2 linked regions of the Diceros bicornis minor genome follow. Each later gene encodes a partner of the first gene's protein in a complex. Links are inferred from orthologs where the notes say so. Each region holds a gene or a part of one and is shown in the gene's direction. Other genes may lie near its edges.

The links. The genes of interacting proteins can lie anywhere in the genome.
Region 2: the proteins of GBA1 (region 1) and SCARB2 are in contact, whole or in part, in a cryo-EM structure (PDB 9FJF), measured with the Homo sapiens proteins. The link is inferred for Diceros bicornis minor from reciprocal best matches to the Homo sapiens genes GBA1 and SCARB2. Residues at the interface, in NP_000148.2 of Homo sapiens: Leu130, Asn131, Ala134, Ile169, Glu190, Lys194, Leu195, Pro430, Arg434, Ile445, Thr446, Asp448; in NP_005497.1 of Homo sapiens: Lys161, Ala162, Tyr163, Gln164, Lys181, Glu183, Leu187, Phe191, Arg192.

Annotation. Positions count from the first base shown.
Region 1 is NC_080743.1:59,106,442-59,116,683, reverse strand, and holds the start of GBA1 (lysosomal acid glucosylceramidase), read left to right. Parts: upstream 1-6,180; 5' UTR 6,181-6,564; intron 6,565-6,866; exon of another isoform or gene 6,867-6,948; 5' UTR 6,949-6,981; coding exon 6,982-7,036; intron 7,037-7,557; coding exon 7,558-7,749; intron 7,750-7,872; coding exon 7,873-8,019; intron 8,020-8,332; coding exon 8,333-8,466; intron 8,467-8,690; coding exon 8,691-8,863; intron 8,864-9,093; coding exon 9,094-9,331; intron 9,332-9,662; coding exon 9,663-9,887; intron 9,888-10,242. UniProt on the Homo sapiens protein: Glucosylceramidase that catalyzes, within the lysosomal compartment, the hydrolysis of glucosylceramides/GlcCers (such as beta-D-glucosyl-(1<->1')-N-acylsphing-4-enine) into free ceramides (such as N-acylsphing-4-enine) and glucose.
Region 2 is NC_080747.1:61,701,064-61,711,945, reverse strand, and holds the start of SCARB2 (lysosome membrane protein 2), read left to right. Parts: upstream 1-6,307; 5' UTR 6,308-6,605; coding exon 6,606-6,722; intron 6,723-10,882.

The DNA of each region.
Region 1 (10,242 bases):
GCATGGCTTGCCAAGCGGTGCGTCAGTGCGCGCCCGGGATCCGAACCGGCGAACCCCGGGCCACCGCAGCTGAGCAAGCACACTTAACCGCTTGTGCCACCGGGCCGGCCCCATCAGCCAAACTATTTTTGTATTTCTGCGTTTCGCTTATGTTTATTTCCCAGTTGTCCTCCTTTGGTGTTTAGCTAAGTCTTTTAAAAGTGCTGTGCAAAGCAGACTGAGGAACACATTTGTGGCCACCCAGTACGCCCCTAGTGGCCACTGCAGCGGGGCCTAGGTGTTTGAGGTGATGCCCCTAGGGCAGTGGTTCTCAGTCGCCCCCTAGGGGGCATTTTGGAAACTTGTGTCTTGAGTTCTTTAGTGGAGACTATGATTAAGAGGCACTTGGAGGATTTAGTGGATGGAGAAAGGGAAGGGTAGATGATCTATAACATGCAGGACAGTCCTGCACGAGGAAGAATTGTCTCTTATTCTACGTGACTTTGGAATGTTCTGCTCAATAACATATGCAAATATAAAATCAAATATAAATCAACAGGACTTTAATATATAATAATGCAGAAAAGTTTTACAAAAACTATTTTTTGGACAAAGCCCAATAATTTAGGAGATCATTATAGAGAAGGAAGCTTAAATAAAATACATTGTCTTGAAAGTACTGCATCTGTCTACTCAGTGTATTAGAGCATTTCCAACTATGTAATATGTTTAGTTGAAAAGAGTTTCAGTGCAGTAGTGCACTTCCTGCAAAAGCAATGAACTGACTGCACATATGTAATAAATTTTTTTACTAGCTTAATTGAGGTATAATTTACATATTATAAGAGTCTCTCCTTGTAAGTGTACAGTTCGGTGATTTTTTAGTAAATTTACTGAGTTGTACAACAGTTAATCTCCATTCCCACCCCAGCCCCAGGCAACCACTAATCTATTTCCTGTCTTTATACATTCACCTAGTCTAGAATTTCATATAAATGGAATCAGACAATATGTGATCTTTTGTAGCTGGCTTCTTTCACTTGGCATAATGTTTTTGAGGTTCATTGTTGCATGTATCAGTATTTTGTTCCTTTTTATTGCTGAATAGTATTCCATTGTAGGGAAATACGACAATTTGTTTATTCATTCACCAACTGTTGGACATTTATGTTGTTTCCATGAATAACGCTGCTGTAAACATTCACTTGCAAGTCTTTGTGTGGACCTATGTTTTCATTCATCTTAAGTAGATACCTACAAGTGGAATTGCTGGGTCATATGGTAGCTCTATGTTTAACATTTTGAGAAACTGCCAAACTCTTTTCCAAAGTGACTGCATCATTATACATTCCCACCAGTAACATACGAGCATTGTAATTTCTCCACATCCTGTTAACATTTGTTATTGTCTGCCTTTTTGATTATAGCCATCCTTGGGCATGTGAAGTGATATCTCATAGTGGTTTTGATTTGCATTTCCTTAATGACTAAGGTTGTCGAGCATCTTTTCATGTGCTTGTTGGCCATTTGTATATTATCTTTGGAGAAATGTCTATTCAAATCCTTTACCCCTGGAGCCGGTCCCATGGCATAGTGGTTAAGTTCGGCGTGCTCTGCTTCAGCACACAGAGTTTGTGGGTTTGGGTCCCAGGCGCGGACCTACACTACTCATCAGCCATGCTGTGGCGGTGACCCACATACAAAATAGAGGAGGATGGGCACAGATGTTAGCTCAGGGTTAATCTTCCTCAAGCCAAAAAAGAGGAGGATTGGCAATGGATGTTAGCTCAGGGTGAACCTTCCTCAGGAAAAAAAAAGTCCTTCACCCATTTTTAAATTAGGTTATCTTTTTATTATTGAGTTGTAAGAGTTCTTCATATATTTTGAATACTAGGCCCTTATCAGAGATATGATTTGCAAATATTTTCTCCTATTCTGTGGGTTGGTTGTCTTTTCACTTTCTTGATGGCATCCTTGAAGCACAAATACTTTTTGTTTTGATGAAGTCCAATTTATCTTTTTTTCCTCCTGTCACTTGTGTTTTGGATTTATATATAAGAAACCATTGCCAAATGAGATTCTGGACTTTTGCTATAATAAGATGAGACTTTTGGGGACTTTGGGAGGAGGTAAGGGTATTTACATGTTGGAGGGACATGACTTATTGGGGGCCAGAGGGTGGACTATGGCAGATTGCCTCCTAGATGGCCCCAAATGCTCCCCACCTCCTGGTGTTCACGCCTTTGTTTTGTCCACCCCACACACCCTGTATAGGGAAGATCTGTGTAACCAATAGGATATCGCAGAAATGATAATGTGCAATCCTAGGACGTTGTGGCTTCTGCCTTGCTCTTAGATCACTCACTCTGGAGGAATCCAGCTGCCATGAATGATGTGAGGACACTGAAGCAGTCCTTTGGATAAGTCCACATGGCGAGGAAATGAGGCCTCCTGCCAACGGCCAGCCCCAGTTCACCACCTCTGTTAGTTAGTGGCTCATCTTGAAAGCAGAGCCTTGGCCCAGTCAAGCCCGCAGATGACTGCAGCCCTGGCCAACATCTTGGCTACAGTCTCATGAGAAACCTCAAATCTGAACTGTCCAGCTAAGCCACTCCTGAATTCCTGACCCACAGAAACGATGTGAGATAATAAATGTTTATTGTTGTTTAAAAAAAAAAGAAAAAGAAACCATTGCCTAATCCAAGGTCACGAAGATTTACTCCTATGCCTTCTTCCGGGAGTTTTATAGTTTTAACTCTTACATTTAGGTCTATGATCTATTTTGCTTTAATTTTTGGTTATGGAGTGAGGTAAGGGTCTAAGTTTATCTTTTTGCATGTGAATACCTAGTTGTCTCAGCACCATTTGTTGAAAAGACTATCCTTTTCCTTATTGAATTGCCAAGGCTTAGAATCAAATATTAAATTTGTAGACATGTGGAATGTACTGAATCTTATTCATGAAAATTGACTTTTAACCATTTTGACTTTTATATATTTTTTGTTTTTGCAGCACAGTGATAATTACATGTTGTGAAAATTACGTATAGTGAAAATGACATTGAAATTATTTATTAATTCACGGGCTGTTTTTGCTTCTTTTAAATATTAATTTATTCCATTTAGGTTAGTGTAAGATCTGACTACATTATGTGTTCTAGGTAATCGTGCCTAAGCATTTACTTTTTTTTTTTTTTTGAGGACGATTGGCCCTGAGCTAACATCTGTGCTAATCCTCCTCTTTTTGCTGAGGAAGACCAGCTCTGAGCTAACATCTATTGCCAATCCTCTCCTTTTTTTATTTTCCCCAAAGCCCCAGTAGATAGTTGTATGTCATAGTTGCACATCCTTCTAGTTGCTGTATGTGGGATGCGACCTCAGCATGGCCAGAGAAGCGGTGCGTCGGTGCGCGGGATCCGAACCCCAGGCCACCAGTGGCGGAGCACGCGCACTTAACCGCTAAGCCACAGGGCCGGCCCCAGCATTTACTTATTGAAAACATATTTTATTATAAAAAAATAGTCCCATTACAGACGGCCCGGTGGCGCAGCAGTTAAGTGCTCGTGCTCCGCTTCGACCGCCTGGGGTTTGCAGGTTTGGATCCCAGCTGCGCACCGACGCACTGCTTGTCAGGCCATGCTGTGGCAGTGTCCCATATAAAGTGGAGGAAGATGGGCATGGATGTTAGCCCAGGGCCAATCTTCCTCAGCAAAAAGAGGAGGATTGCCATCAGATATTAGCTCAGGGCTAATCTTCTTCACAAAAAAAGAAAAAAATAATAATAAAATAGTCCCATTATTTTTCTTCTAAATTATGTGTGTAGGTAAGTCATCTCATCTATACATTCATTTCAGGATAGTAAAGAGTATGTTAGAAAATACTTGCTATGAAAAGGGGGTGCTCGGGCTGTTGGGCTGAGATCTCCCAGGGTGGGGAGAGTGAAGCTCAGGGATGGAGGCAGGGCCCCCCCCTCCCCAACTGAAAATCAATCATTCTTGTCCAACTTGGGAGTTCTGGATTTTGTTTCATTATTGAATTGGTATCCCCTGACTAATACCCTTGGAGGACATGGATCCAGAAATGTTGCCACATAGCCAGCACTTCAGAAGCCAACTTGGGCTTCATCTTGGGCAGGTAAAACACTCCATAAAAACAAAGGATGATTTTAAAACAATACAAAGTGAACACTGTAGACCAGCACAGCAGCTTCTGAAAATAACCAGCGCCTAGCATGGCATTTGGCATACTGGAGACACTCATTAAATGTGTGATGTGTGTCATAGGACTCTGGACATGAATTCAGGTTCTGCCACTGAGTAGCCAAGGGACTTGGAGCAATTTAATGACCTTTCAGAGTCTTAGCTTCCTCCTCTCTAAGATGGGGAAAATAATAGTATCTGCCTTGTGAGAATGAAATGAGACAATGAACATAAAATAGCACAGAATAAGTACTCAATAAATATTGGCCCTTATTATAACCAACTTTATTTAGAAAATAAAATATAAAAGCCTCAAGAGCAAATCACATTGTGAGAGAAATCTGAACGATGAGATGGTATCCACTCTGGAAAACTTTTGCAAACTGAAGGATAAAAAGAAGAAACAAGAGACTCACAAACTCTGTGCCTGCAGAGCGAAACAGGGAGGGGAGGGGGGCTCTACACCCAACAGAGCAGGCAGGGGCAAATGTAGTATGTGCTTAATAAATATTTGTGGAGTGAATGAACTAAAGGGAAGTAAGGTACTAGATATCACCTGCTCTCCTTCAGAGAACAAGCCCTGCGTAACATTTCCTGGAAAAACAGGAAGTCCAGATGGGGCCAATACTGACATAGTGATGATGGTTCAATTCAGTTCAACAATTTGGCACCTACCCACTCTGTGCCAGGCCGTCTACACAGAATGAGTAAGACATTCCTTGGAGGGAACTCCAAGCTCCCTCCATAAACACAGACCTAACTGGTTGCAATATTTCGTGCCAAGCACTGTGCTAGACACACACATTATCGTACTTAAACCTCACAGCAACTCCAGGAGGTAGGAGTCATCACTCCTCTTTTAGAGATGAGAAATACAGGCTTAGAGTGATTAAAGTAATTTATTGAAGGTCAAACAGCTAGGAAATGGTGAAGCCAGGATTCAAATCCAGCTCATCTGAGACTATATACTTAAGTGCTATAGGAACCTAGAAGAAGGGAGGATCCATTTTGCCTGGAGTGTGTCAGGAAAAGACTCACTGAGATAATTTTAAAAAACAAAGAGACAGGGCCGGTCCCGTGGCTTAGCGGCTAAGTGCGCGCGCTCCACCGCTGGCGGCCCAGGTTCGGGTCCCGGGTGCGCACCGACGCACCGCTTCTCTGGCCATGCTGAGGCTGCGTCCCACATACGGCAGCTAGAAGGATGTGCAGCTATGACATACAACTATCTACTGGGGCTTTGGGGGGAAAATAAATAAATAAAATTATAAAAAAAAAAAAAAACAAAGAGACAAAAACAACAAACAGGCGGTTCCCAAGCACCTACTATGCACCAGGCATTGTGCTCATCTCACAGATTCTGGTAATGACCCATGAGGGTGTGGGACTGCCTCCATTTTACAGGTGAGGAAGCAGGCTCAGAGAGCTGGAGTTGTCAGGTCACGGTTGTGTCACAACCACTAAGTCATATGTGATGTGGTCCATGAGGCATGAGGCATGGACCACCCCCTTCTCTTATCCACGGAGGATACAGCTTTCTGCAACCCTTTCCAATTTCTGAACTACTTTACACAACCTCCCTGTCCTGTGAGAAAGGAAGAACAGTTACGACAAGCTGCATCTGATGATGAAAGAATGGAGGTCTCGAGAGGCGCCATGTTGATGACTCCCTCCCTTCAGTCAGGCCCTCCCTCTGCCTAGGGCCCATCCTCCCTGGACTTCGCTGGTTAATAATCCCCGCCCCTTCTCCTCCGGGAAGCCTTCCAGGACAACTCCCCCCAATGAAGCCTCCCTCCATGCACACCTGTTACCTGTTTTTGTCTTTATCTGTAACTATCCGTGTAATCACATGACTCCCCTGCCTCATGAGCCTCTATAGGGCAAAGACTGTCTTAATCCTCTCAGTATTTTGACTTCAGTATTTTGCACAGTGAACTTCTTTTATTAGTATCACTTGTATTAGTATTTAAAATTTTTTCTCAAGAAAGCAATGTGCCTGCTGTGGTTCCCATCCTATGGGATTCAGGAGTCTCTACCCAAGCCTCCACTCAGATCTTTGATCTAGATTCTTCCTAAAGTAGTCATCCACACAAGCCTTCCAGAATTTATCATAGAGTGTGTAATCGCCAACAGCCCGGAAGAAGCCAGTAGCCCTTTACAAGTATGGTTGCAATTGCCTCATTTCCTGTATCATGTGACTCTCCCGTCGTCATCACATGACCTGTCCACTCTATTATGCCGGAATTAACCCGAAGGGCTAATCTGGTGTCAGTAGCTACCGCGGGTACCTGCATCTCTGTTTTTATTTAGTGGATCCTCTATCCCGCTGAGGCTCGGGAACCCTGCAGACTTCTCATCTAGTGGTAGAGCTTTCAAGTCCTCCCATAGAGGTGAGTGGGCCAGGGCTCCCAATTGGTCTTGTCACGCTGCTTCTGGAATCCTGGCCATCCAGGCCCTGGAATTCAGTGAATGACAGACTCTCCTCGAACCCAGGCCATCATGGCTCTTTGATGGAGGAACAGATGGGGGGACGTCGAGGGAGAAATGGGTGAGAAGAGGGGTGGAGGCGGGTCCTGGTGGGGGTGGGCAGAGAGCTTTCACTAGCAGGGGGCTTGGAGGGAGGGCTGCACTCAGGTGTCTGTGGGCCTTGTTCCATCCCTATTAAAGGTGGGACACTAGGCTCTGGGTGCCCACAGGCAGCGAGCCCTGCCTGGGAGAGTAGCTGAAGGGTGGAGAGGGGCTTGCCTTCTAGCCGCTTCTTATTCTGTTCTCAGGAGTGTCTCAAGCACCTGGGCCGGGTAGGCATCATGGCTGCCAGCCTCATGGGATTGCTTCTACTTCAGGCAGTTTCGTGGGCATCAGGTGAGTGAGTCAAGGAGGAAGGAGGTAGCCCGAGGCTCCCTTCTGCCTTATGGGCCTTTGTGAGCCTTCTGGCATACTGGTGGTGCACTCCAGCAGGTGCTCAGCAACCCTTTGGAGTGACTGAGACCAACCTTGGGGTGAGGGTACAGCAAGAGGATTTTTTTTTTTCCTTTTTTTTTTTTTTTGTGAGGAAGATCAGCCCTGAGCTAACATCCATGCCAATCCTCCCCTTTTTCTGCCGAGGAAGATTGGCCCTGGGTTAACATCCGTGCCCATCTTCCTCTACTTTATATGGGACGCCGCCACAGCATAGCCTGACAAGCAGTGCGTCAGTGCGCGCCCAGGATCCGAACCCGGGCCGCCAGCAGCGGAGCGCGCGCACTTAACCGCTATGCCACAGGGCCAGCCCCAGCAAGAGGATTTTTGAAACCAGTGTTGGGTCTCGCTTTCCAACCTGTGTGCGCCTACACCCCATCTTCATCCCTCAGCCCTTGCCTCTGCTTGTGCTTCCTCCTTTCCAGGTGCCCGCCCATGCAGCCCTAAAAGCTTTGGCTACAGCTCAGTGGTCTGTGTCTGCAATGCCACGTATTGTGACTCTCTTGACCCCCTGACCCTGCCTGCCACTGGCACCTTCAGCCGCTATGAGAGCACACGCAGTGGCCGCCGAATGGAGCTGAGTCAGGGGACCATCCAGGCCAACCGCACGGGCACAGGTGACCACTACACCCCTCACCTCGAGCCAGGCTCAATCCTGCTGGAACTAAATCATGCCAGCAACCACCACGGAGTTTCTCCCCTGTGCACTGACACCCTTTATTCCCTGTGGATGTCCCCAGGGCTGCTACTGACCCTGCAGCCAGATCAGAAGTTCCAGAAAGTGAAGGGATTTGGAGGGGCCATGACAGATGCTGCTGCTCTCAACATCCTTGCCCTGTCACCCCCTGCCCAGGATTTGCTACTCAAATCGTACTTCTCTGAAGAAGGTGAGGAGGGGGCAAGATGACACAGTGCAGTTGACCCTGTCCTTTCCTTTGACCTTGACTTCCACCCATCCCTAACATTTGGGTCCTCTCCTAATGCCCAGTGGAATAAAAATGTCCTACACATCTTCCACTGAGTCTTGGCGACTCTCAGGCTTGGGGGCCTGTGCTTCACCCATGTGCCTGGCTCCACAGGCCCCAACCCAAGTTCCCTTTGGTCTGACTCAGATGTAATTCAGTACTGGCAAGTGGTAGGCCAGGTCCCACATTCTCCTATTGACTCAGACTCCTGTATCTTGGTCTTCTTTTTCTGCAGGAATCGAATACAACATCATCCGGGTACCCATGGCCAGCTGTGACTTCTCCATCCGCATATACACCTATGCCGACACCCCTGATGACTTCCAGTTGCACAACTTCAGCCTCCCAGAGGAAGATGTCAAACTCAAGGTGGGCAATCTGGCTGCCTCAGGCCCTGGTGGCATTGATGCCTGGTGGTTGAGAAGCCTCAGGCTAGAGCAGCCTGCAGAGAGACATAGAACCTGCCCTCTGCTCTCCGTTTTGTCCTGGGGGTAGGAGGGCGGAGGCTGATGGCTAGGCCTGATGCACTGGTTGGGCCAGTTTGTCTATGTTCCAACTCTGGGTGTCTCTCTCCTCACTACCTTTGTCTCTAGATACCCCTGATTCACCAAGCCTTGAATTTGGCCCAGCGCCCTGTCTCACTCTTCGCCAGTCCCTGGACATCACCCACTTGGCTCAAGACCAATGGGAAAGTGAATGGGAAGGGGTCACTCAAGGGTCAGCCAGGGGATCTCTACCACCAGACTTGGGCCAGATACTTTGTCAAGTAAGGGGGCAGCAAGGGCATGGGGTCTAATCAACCTCCCCTTTTGGACACCCTGGTCTATGTCCCAACCCTCGACCTGGTTCTGCCTCCAGATCTGACTCTCCTCACCTCGTCTTTCTACCTTCTGGGCCTTTCAGACTCGGACCCCTCAGTTTTCCCCACCTTATCAGGCCTCCTATTCTCCAGTCTTGGTCCCCTTTCTTGGCCACTCACACCTTTCCTCCTGCCAGGTTCCTGGATGCCTATGCTGAGCACAAGTTACAGTTCTGGGCAGTGACAGCTGAGAACGAGCCTTCTGCAGGGCTCATTAGCGGGTACCCCTTCCAGTGCCTGGGCTTCACCCCTGAACACCAGCGAGACTTCATTGCCCGTGACCTGGGTCCTGCCCTTGCCAACAGTACGCACCACAATGTCCGTCTGCTCATACTGGATGACCAACGCTTGCTGCTGCCCCGCTGGGCCCAAGTGGTAAGGCCCAGGACCTCCATGGGTACCCTAGTGACCCCCAAATCCAGCATCCAAATGACTGGCTCTCGAACAGAGTGCCTCTCCTGCTCTTCATTCCTAGAGCACCCCAGGCTGGGGCCAGGTACCACCCCTGTGGTGCTGAGGGGATGGAGACTTGCTCTGGGATCGCCAGGGCCCCATGGATCCCCCGGTTGTCACTTTAATCCCTTCTAATTGTGTTCATCCCACCGCCCATGTCTCAGGTCACCTAGTCCTTCTTCCAGAACCCTCCGTGCAGGGGCCAGGTTCAGTGGCTCCCTTTCCCCAGGTGTCCTTCCCCTTTCCTGTACAGGTGCTGGAGGACCCAGAGGCAGCTAAGTACGTTCATGGTATCGCTGTACATTGGTACCTGGACTTTCTAGCTCCAGCAAAAGCCACGCTGGGGGAGACACACCGCCTGTTCCCCAACACCACGCTCTTTGCCTCAGAGGCCTGTGTGGGCTCCAAGTTCTGGGAGCAGAGTGTGCGCCTAGGCTCCTGGGATCGAGGGATGCAGTATAGCCACAGCATCATCACGGTGAGCCACCTGTCTCCCTTTCCACAAAGCAGACCACCTCAGAGCCCTTCCTGGTCTCACCACAGGCTGACAGAAGGCCCTCCTCTCCAACTTTTCCCCAGATGGCTTGCTCGCTGGGGCAAATTTGGGGATATCATGATTCCCTGTCTTGCTTTCCCTTCATAGATCTGCACACCCCATCACCCTTTTCCCGAATGCTTGGGTCTCGGGCAGTTACATCTGCCTCGGATTTCTCAGCTTCTCTTGTGATGTCTTCATCCTCACAATCCCTCTCTCCTTAGATATTAAGGATACAGAGCGTCCCGTCACAGGGCTGAGGCACCATAGCCCGTCTCCCTCATGTGACCCTTAACTC
Region 2 (10,882 bases), on another chromosome or scaffold:
CAGTACCATGCTGTTTTGATTACTACTGCTTTGTAGTATGTTTTGAAGTCAGAGATGGTGATGCCTCCAGTTTTGTTGTTTTTTTTTTTAGGATTGCTTAAGCTATTCGCAGTCTTTTGTTGCCCCATATAAATTTAGTATTCTTTTTTCTATTTCCCTGAAGAATGTCCTTGGGATTCTGATTGGGATTGCATTGAATCTGTAGATTGCTTTAGGTAATATAGACATTTTAACTAGGTTTATTCTTCCAATCCATGGGACGTCTTTCCATTTCTTTATGTCATCATCAATTTCTTTCAATAATGTCTTGTAGTTTTCATTGTATAGGTCTTTCACCTCCTTGGTAAGATTTATTCCTAGATATTTTATTCTTTTTGATGCAATTGTAAATGGTATTATCTTTTTGAGCTCTTTTTCTGTTAGTTCGTTATTAGCATACAGAAATGCAACTGATTTCGTACCCTGCGACTTTGCTGTAGTTGTTCATTATTTCTAATAGTTTTCCAATGGATTCTTTAGGGTTTTCTACATATAAAATCATGTCATCTGCAAATAGTGAGAGTTTCACTTCTTCGTTGCCTATTTGGATTCCTTTTATTCCTTTTTCTTGCCTAATTGCTCTGGTCAAAACCTCCGGTACTATGTTGAATAAGAGTGGTGAGAGTGGGCAGACTTGTCTTGTTCCTGTTCTCGGAGGAGTGGCTTTCAGTCTTTCCCTGTTGAGTATGATGTTGGCTGTGGGTTTGTCACAAATAAGCTTTATTATGTTGAGGTATTTTCCTTCTATACCCATTTTGTTGAGAGTTTTTATCATAAATGGATGTTATATCTTGTCAAATGCCTTCTGTGCATCTGTTGAGATGACCATGTGGTTTTTATTCTTTGTTTTGTTGATGTGGTGTATCACGTTGATTGATTTGTGGATGTTGAACCATCCTTGCGTCCCTGGTATACATCCCACTTGATCATGGTGTATGATCTTTTTAATGTATTGCTGTACTCGCTTTGCCAATATTTTGTTGAGGATTTTTGCATCTATGTTCGTCAGCAATATTTGCCTGTAATTTTCCTTCTTTGTATTGTCTTTGTCTGGCTTTGGTATCAGGGTGATGTTGGCCTCATAGAATGAGTTAGGAAGTGTTCCATCTTCCTCCATTTTTTGGAATAGTTTGAGAAGGATGGCTATTAAATCTTCTTCGAATGTTTGGTAAAATTCACTGGAGAAGCCATCTGGTCCTGGACTTTTATTTTTTGGGAGGTTTTTGATTACTATTTCAATCTCTTTACTTGTGATTGGTCTATCAGATTCTCCATTCCTTCTTGGTTCAGTTTTGCGAGGTTGTATGAGTTTAAGAATTTATCCATTTCTTCTAGATTGTCCAATTTGTTGGCATATAATTTCTCATAGTATTCTCTTATAATCCTTTGTATTTCCGTGGAATCCATTGTAATTTCTCCTCTTTCATTTCTAATTTTATTTATTTGAGCGTTTTCTCTTTTTTTCTTAGTAAGCCTGGCTAAGGGTTTGTTAATTTTGTTTATCTTCTCAAAGAACCAACTCTTTGTTTCGTTAATCCTTTCTACTGTTTTTTTGGTCTCAATTTCACTTATTTCTGCTCTGATTTTTATTATTTTTCTCCTTCTGCTGACTTTGGGCTTTGTTTGTTCTTCCTTTTCTAGTTCTGTTAGGTGTAATTTAAGGTTGCTTATTTGGGCTTTTCCTTGTTTGTTAAGGTGGGCTTGTATTGCTATGAATTTCCCTCTCAGGACCGCTTTTGCTGCATCCCATATGATTTGGTATGGCATATTTTCATTTTGTTTGTTTCCAGATATTTTTTGATTTCTCCTTTAGTTTCATCAATGATCCATTGGTTGTTCAGTAGCATGTTGTTTAATCTCCACAACTTTGTGGCTTTCTCAGTTTTTTTCTCCTAGTTGATTTCCAGTTTCATAGCACTATGGTCTGAAAAGATGCTTGTTATGATTTCAATCTTCTTAAATTTATTGAGGCTTGCTTTGTTTCCCAACATATGGTCTATCCTTGAGAATGTTCCATGCGCACTTGAGAAGAATGTGTAGTCAGCTATTTTTGGATGGAGTACTCTGTATATGTCTACTAGGTCCATCTCATCCCATTTTTCATTTAAGTTGACTGTTTCTTTATTGACTTTTTGTCTGGATAATCTATGCATTGGTGTAAGTGGGGTATTAAGATCCCCTACTATTATTGTGTTGTTGTTAATATCTCCTTTTAGGTTTGTTAATAGTTGCTTTATGTACTTTGGTGCTCCTATGTTGGGTGCATATATATTTATAATTGATATGTCTTCTTGGTAGAGTGTCCCTTTTATCATTATATATTTCTCTTCTTTGTCTCTCTTAACCTGTTTTATCTTGAAGTCTACTTTGTCTGATATGAGTATGGCAACACCTGCTTTCTTTTGTTTGCTATTAGCTTGGAGTATTGTATTCTATCCTTTCACTCTGAGCCTGCGCTTGTCTTTAGAGCTGAGATGTGTTTCCTGGAGGCAGCATATTGTTCGGTCCTGCTTTTTAATCCATGCTGCCACTCTGTATCTTTTGATTGGAGAGTTCAATCCATTTACATTTTGGGTAATTATTGATATATGAGGGCTTGATGTTGCTGTTTTGTCACTTATTTTACAGTTCTTTTGCATTTCCTTTGTTTCTTGTCCCATTTGTTTCGGACTGCCAATTCAGTTTGGTTGTTCTGTCTTATGACTCTTCCAGTTTTCTCTTTGTTTATCATATGTGGTTTTGTTTTGATTATTTGTTTAGTGGTTACCTTGAGGTTTGTATAAAAAATCTTGTGTTTGAGATAGTCCATTATCTGATGGCCTTTTATTTCCTTAAACTAAGGCAAATCAATCTCTTTCCTCTTCCCCTTCTAAGTCATTCTTGTTACAACTTATTCTATCTTGTGTTGTGGGTGTGTGTTTACAGTGATGAGGTTATATTTATTTTTGATGATTTCCTTCCTTTGATCTTTGATTTTGGTATTTAAGTGGTTGCTAACCTATTCTGGTAAAGATCTACTATTTTTCTGATCTTGTCTACCTATTATTCTCCTTGCTCCAAGCTTTGTATTCCCTTTCTCTTCTTTTTTTCAGGCCTGAGGGCCTTCTTAAGTATTTCCTGTAGTAGGGGTCTCGTGGCCATGAACTCTCTTAGCTTTTGTTTATCTGGGAAAGTTACTATTTCTCCATCATATTTGAAGGATATTTTTGCTGGATAGAGTATTCTTGGCTGAAAGTTTTTGTCTTTCAGTATTTTGAATATATCATTCCAGTCTCTTCTAGACTGTAAAGTTTCTGTTGAGAAATCCGCTGAGAGCCTGATGGGACTTCCTTTGTACATTATTTTTTGTTTTTGTCTAGCTGCCCTTAATATTGTTTCTTCGTCATTGACTTTAGCCAGCCTTACCACTATATGCCGTGGAGTGGGTCTTTGCCTGTTGACGTATTTAGGCAACCTATTGGCTTCACTTACTGGTATTTCCTGCTCCCTCCCCAGATTTGGGAAGTTCTCAGCTATTATTTCCTTGAATAGGCTCTCTGTTCCTTTTTCCTTCTCTTCTCCCTCAGGAATACCTATAATTCTTATGTTACATTTCCTAATAGAGTCAGATATTTCTCGGAGACTTTCTTCATTTCTTTTTAGTCTTAGTTCTCTCTCCTCCTCCATCTGGAGCATATCTGTATTCCTATCCTCTATAATGCTAATTCTTTCCTCCATATTGTCAGCTCTGTTCTTTAAAGATTCCACTCCTTTATCTCCTCCATTGTGTTCTTCATCTCCATCAGTACTGACTGGTTTTTCTTTATGATTTCAATCTCTTTTGTGAGGAAACTCCTTATCTCATTGAATTGTTTCTCTGTGTCATCTTGTATTTCATTGAGTTTTTTTATGATAGCTATTTTGAAATCTCTGTCGTTTAGGTTATGGATTTCTGTGCCTTCAGGGTTGGTTTCTGGGTGCTTGTCATTTTCCTTCTGGTCTGGTGATTTCATGTACCTTTGCATCGTGGTTCCTGTATTCGCTTTGTTTTTCCTCATCCTGGAAGTATCTGGTTGCAGTTTTCACCTGCCGCCACCGTGTGGTGGTTAAAAGCTGTGTAATCTGAGCCCCCTGTGCTCTGCCCCGGCTGCTCGCTGGGATCAGTTGGGCTGCTCTGCCTGGTCTGGTCGGCTGAGCTGTAGTGTCGGGCATGTGGGGTGGGGGGTGGGGAGCTCTGTCTTTTGCCCGCTGGGTCCCTGGCATGGGGGGGTTTCTCGCTTGCCCCTCCGTTATCTGCTTTCCTGGAGTGCTCAGATGTTGATGGCACCCCTGCAGCAGTGCTGAGTCCTCTGTGTGGGAGTTTCCAGAGTTTCCCACTGGCTGAGAGAGCCTGAAGAGCTACGGTTTCCCTGCAGAGGGCTGCCCCTCCCTCTCTGGGAGGCGCGGGGACCCGGATTGCTGATCTAATGGGGAGGGAGAGGAGTTCTCCTTACCTCTCCCCACTTCCTCCAGGGGCCCCAACACGTCCACTCTCAGATGTGTGGCAGTGTGGATCTTTCCGATCTTCCTTTTTGCTGTCTAGGAGTCCATTGTTGGTCTGTGACTGTCCCTTTTGTTGTATCTTATCGGGGGAAGAGTTTATGGGAAAGCTCATTCCGCCATGATGCTGATGTCACTCTGCCACCATTTTTAATACATCACAGCATCTCACCAAGTCCTTACCAAAGTCTCCCAGCTGAACTCCCTGTCCCCAGATTCTCACTGATGGCAGCTGGGAGGCAGCAATGCATAGGGTAGAAAAAGTGAGGGCTTTAGAGGTCATCAGGCCTGCATTCTGGTCCAGCCGGGATCCACTATCAGCAACTGGGTGAACTTGTTAGGTTACTTACCTCTCGGATTCATGGTTTCCTTGTGTATAAAATGGCAATACTACTACTATAGTGGCCAAGAAAATGAACTTCTCAGATCTTCTAGTGCAGAGCATAACTGACCAATGGCCCTGTCCCAGCTGCTGGAGCTCTGAAATCTATCCTCTGATATTCATCCCCAGCTTGGTACAGAAGCCAGGTCCTAGGGCTGCTCCTGGTCCATGACTAAGCATAAGAGGCCTATTCCAAAGAGATGCTGGACTCCTGAGACAGGCCAATTTGGCTCAAGGACCTCCTACAGCCTTGCTGAACTTTCTTAGTGCTGCATCCTTCCACCTAACCTTCCTTGCTTGACTCCTTCACAGAGATCATACCTGCATCCCAGGTCCAGCTCCCTGTCCATATTCCCTCATAAATTTCTTGCACAGTGCTCCTGTCTGGCACTGCTTTGGGGAGACTGGGACAGCCATCTACTCACAAGGCTGTTGTGGGTATTAAATAAGTGGGTACGTGTAAGCACCTAGCCAAGGCCTAGCATATAGTTGACACTCATTCGACTAATATTTATTGAGTCCCTGCTCTATGCCAGCTCTAGCCTGGGTGCCTGGGACATAACAGTGAGCAAAGCGGATGGGAACAACGTCAGGGTCACCTGCTTGAAGCTTCTCGCTGACTGCCACTGCTGAGGGATAAAGTCTCAACTCTTCCAGGGGATACAAAGAGCCCTTCCAAGTCTGACCCCAAGGGGCCTCAACACCTCCTAACCCACACTCTGCACCCCTGAACCTACAGTCAAAAGGAACTCCCTTCTTCCCTCTTACAATCTTGCTCTTTCACCCCAAGTGTCTTACCACACCTTTTTCTTCTTCTTGAAATGCCTCCTCCCTGCCTTGTACACACCCCTCAAATGACAAACTTACACATCCTCCAAGACCCAGGTCAATTATGGGGTCCTAGGTCACCCGGGCAGAATCTGCTGGTTGGCACAGATCTCAGCCCGCACCTCGTGAAAGCACTTATTTACACTGCGCTGTAATTGCTGTCACAGTGTCCCTGCCAACTTGTGAGCCCGTCTAGAGCAGCGGCAATGTGTTCATCCTGACTCCCCAGCTCGGCACTTGGTAGGCCCGCAGTACGTTTCTGCGGGGTGAGTAAGTGAATGAGCCGAGGACGGGCGATTTTCCGGGGTAACGGGGGAGCCTGCGGCGAGGGGGCGGGGGCGCGTCTGGGCCTGGCCCGGCTCAGGGAGCCGAAGCGCTGGGGGACCGCCGGGAGCGGCCGCGGCTCTCGCGGACCGAATCGCGACCGCCGCTCCGGGGCACATGACTGCGGCGCCGGCCCCCGCCCCGCCCGCTCCCCCGCGCAGCTGCTGGCTGCTGCCTCCCGGGGCTGCGGCGAGCCCGGCCGGCGGGCGTCACGGCCCTGCGCGCTCCCTCTCTCCCTCCCGAGCTGCGCCAGGCGGGCGCCGCGGCTGCCCCGGCAGGGAAACCGAAACCAAAGCGGCTCGTTCCACTCCTCAGCCGGCCAGCCGGGCGCCCCGCGGGCCCCGCTCGTCCAGCCGCCGAGCCGGCAGCCGCGCGCACCGCCCGGGCCGCGCCGCGGACGCCAGGAGCGGAGCGCGGGCGCCGGAGGATCCCGGCTCTTCCGGCCGGCGCTGCGGCGGCGGCCCCGCCCTCTCTCCTGTTGGGTCGCCGGCCCGGCCCGTGAACGGCGCGCAGAATGGGCAGGTGCTGCTTCTACACGGTGGGGACGCTGTCCCTGCTCCTGCTGGTGTCCAGCGTCACGCTGCTGGTGTCCCGGGTCTTCCAGAAGGCCGTGGACCAGAAGATCGAGAAGGTGAGGCGGGGCGTGTGTGTGTGTGTGTGTCTTCGAGAAGGTGAGGCGGGGCGGTGTGTGTGTGTGTGTGTGTGTGTGTGTGTGTGTGTGTGTCTTTCCTCGCGCACCCGCGCGTGCCGGGGGCGCTTGCAGCCCACCCTCCCCCTGCTGAACCTTGTGCGGGGAAGGTCTGCTCCCGGCGAACTCGCCCCACCAGAGCCCTCCTTTCTTCCTTGTCTTCTTGGGGTTGGTCGGGAAGGGTTAAAGAAGGATGGAGAGCAATGGAAATGACTTGTCCTCTTTATAATAACAAATAAGACTGTGGATCTAGACTTTTTAAAAAGGCTTTCACTTATATTTTATCATTTGCATCTCCCCCCTCCCAGGCCTGCCCTACACCCCAATCTCTGTTGGGCCCAAACTCGTTTCCCTCCCACTTCATGAAGAAACAAAACTAAGTGAAAGACACCACAGAGGAGGCAGGTTTGTTGGCTGCTTGCTGAGGCCTTTGGAGTGGTGTAGGGCTCCGGGTGAGAAGTGGGTGTGTGATCTATTGTGTGCTTGCCTTCCTGGGCCGGGCAGGGCAAGGCAAGGCGGTTGGTAGCTCTCTTAGGCCTTGGGGCTGGGTGACATTTCAATCCGTCAAAGTCTGTGCTTACCCGGCCCCACCCCCTAACCCCCCACTTAGCAGCTTGGTATCTTGTACCAACAGTCTGGTTGCTTTGTCTCACTACCGATTCTTGCTCTTCTCAAACAGCCATTCGCTTCAGGCGAAGATACATTTAGATTCTTAAAAGACTCTGAATCTGTCTCTTCTCCCAGATGGGTGAGTTAGAGAGCTGGTCATTTCAGAGACTTCTCCATTGTTGACTTCACCAGTGGTCGTTTCTTCTGCCCTTTCACCCACACCCACCAATCCGTGTGGAAAGAGGAACAAAAGAGAGTTACTGGGATCACTTTTTCCTTTAAAAAAGAAAATCACTGGAGCAGCCTTCCGTTAGCACCCATAACCGCATGCTTAGTTTCTCCCCCTGGCTTGTGCTTGCTGTTGGCCGGATAAACAAGCTGCGGCCTGGTCCAGCTGGATCACTGCACTTCCGGTTAGTAAAGTTGTCTTGTTCCCGGTGGCAGCACATATCCCTTTAATAGTGGTTACCAAAAGCCATCAATTACGTGAAATCTGGCAGCTAAAGGCAACTTAAAACAAAACAAAACAAAAAATAGTCATGGCAAAGCATAATATAATTTTTTAAAAGTTCACATTGCCAAGGGAAGATGAAGCCGACTGCCGGAGCCTCTCAAAGACTGTTGTTTTCCCTGAGCACTCATGTTTAAGGAAAAGACTAAACTGAACCTTCTCCACTCCTGTCTACCTGCAAATCCATGGCGAGATTGTTTAAGGATGTAAACTCTTGACTAGAGTTCAGCTATCCAATTATGCTCCATATGTGACTTTTCTTGTGTGGCTTTGAAAGACTGTTTCAGGAGAGCCCTGTGAGAAGAGTGATCTTTCCAGTTGCCTCAGCTCTCACCAGCCCTCAGATGCCCTGTGAGTCTCCATTTCAAGGGGGGCAGGGGGGTGGCTGTAGGGCAGCTTGGCTGGGGCTTGAGTTTGCGTTGATATTTAGTGATTGGCTTCCATGTGGTTTTCTCCAGGAGAAATGGACTCTGACTAATAAATTATAGTACAGGGGAGGTGGACTTTCAGAATTGCCCAGTCCCATTAAGGAACACTGCACCATGTGGTGTATGAAACTCAATGACAGGGCTAGTTTCAGTGGACAGGTGGGAGTATTGTGAGTCAACCAGAGGTCACACATGCCATCATTATCATTCAGATCTCCTGGATCACCTGTAGGGAGGTAGCCTGGGATAGTGGGACAGAGTGAGGACTTTGCAGGTCAACACTCCTGGGCGTGAGTCCTGGCCCCACCATGTACTAGCTGGGTGACCTTGGGCCAGGCACTTCACCTTTCTTGATTCTCAGTTTCTCCATCTATAAATGGGGATAATAACGACTCATGGAAATAGAGAGGTTATAAGAATTATTAGGGAAAATGGGTGTAATTTTCATGAGATATAGTTAGTGTTTTGTAAATGATAACAGTTTTATTTTTGTTAGAAGCCACATAAGCAAAGAAAAAATACATAAGATTTAAAGTCAGACACACTATGTTCAAATTCTAGCTTTGCCATTTACAAGCTTTTTGACTCCAGGCAAGCTACTTAACTTCTCTGAGCCTCAGTGTTATTACTTGGAAAAGAGAGGATGTTAGCTATCTTGGGCACAGCACTGCATTTACCATGAAGCTCACAACGCTGAAGTTTTGGGCTCTTCACTTGCACAGGCCCTTCCAAGACCCTGTACCTAATTCTGTATCCAAAATTATCTTTTTCTTAGGAAGGGCTTCCTTGCATTGTGTAAGCTTCACACAAACCCGGGATCTGCCTCTGTGTGTGTGTTACTGTGAGACTGAGTGAGGTGGTCTGTGTAAAGCCCTCAGCACAATCTCAGGCCTGGAACGGGAGATCAATTTTGGCCACCATCCTTATTTCCATTAGTATTATCATGGAACAATTCACTCATACCTTGACTTTAATATAGTTGTAATATAATCCACTCTGATACTCCCAGTTCTTAGTTTTCTCATTTGAAGATTGTTCATGCCCTGACTTGTCTCCATTAAAAAGAGAAGAAAGAAAAGGGATGAAATTCACGTGAGTAGCTTTGGCTAGTTCTGAGAAGCTTAGTAACATAATTCCTATCAGAAGAATTTGCCTCAGGTGATAATTGTCCTTGAGCCCTGCAGTGAACAGAGGTGACTGAAGGGAGATTTTAATTCTGTCCAGTGAATGGCGTAGAAGGAACCAAGACAATTTGGTTCCATTCTTGGCTTCACTGGTTAGTGCCTTGTTTTGGGCAAGTCCTGTGATTGTTTCTGCTTCAATTTTCTCTATTTCAAAAGAAGCCCAGTAATGCCTCCCCTTTGTCTGTCCATACCCTTTTCCTGAGGGATATTCTGAGCATGAACCAGGCCTTCTCTGTCAAGTGTTTGGACCTCCCTAAAGACAGAGCTTTGCAGAAACCCAGCACTCTCTTTTCCTCCAGAGAGCCTGGAAGGGCAGGATTGTATGTTACATTTCATTTGGTAACCCCGCTAGTTGTCCTGGTACCAAGCACAGTGCCTGTGCATGGAGGTACATGATAAATGCCTGTGGCCTCACTTTGTTCGTTTTAGTTGAAAGAACAGTGTCCTGAGAATCAGCAGAGCTTGGTTAAAATTCCCTTTTCTGTCACTAACAAATACTTGGATTAAGTTGAACAAGCCAGGTGGCAAATTATTGAACCCCTTGAAACCTTAGTTTCCTCATTCTGAAAACGGGGGTCATAAGAATCCCTACCTTAGGGTTGTTGCAAGAGTGAAATAAAATGATTGATGTAAAGCATCTGGCACAGTCCTTTCCACAATGCCTGAATGTGGACGTTTGTTATTGCTTCTGGCTATTCTTTTCTCAGCTAGAAATTGAAGCTTATACAATAGATAAGTTTCCTTCTAGCTCCTGGTTTCTGAGATTCTATGAGACAGGCATGTGACCTTTGCTTGAGAGCAAATGTGCAGCTCAGGATATTAAATTTGCACTTAGACTTGAACATCTCCCAGAAATGGGGACGCAGAGCGGGCCAAGGTCAGGGCTGGCTAGTTAGGAGATGGGCTGGCAAGGGAACCAGTGAGAGGGAAGGAGACTGTTCACATTCTTCCTTTTCAAGGCCAAGGAAGGCTGATAGCATTAGGTCTCAGGAGTGGGAAGAGCAGGGCAAATAGACTTGCCCTTTGCCGGAACCTAAGGCTCTGGGCAAGCGAGTACCAGCTGGCCAAGTTTGGAGCTGTTCTATGGATGCCTCAAGAAATAAAATCTAGTCAGTGACAATTTAACCAAATAACAGTGATTGGTGAATATGTGGGGGTCTTCTTTTTTAAAGTCGAATTGATAAAACATCTTCATTGTTGTTTATGTAAAGACAGTCAACTCTATATAATCTTAAAGGGCTCCTTGCATATCTACCTCATTTCCTGAGTTGCTTCTTTTCGGAGTTATGAAGACATAAAGTCTTAGAATAAGAAAAAAAACCTTAGGCATCACTTAGTCTGTTATTTTACAGTCAGAGAAACTGAGACTAT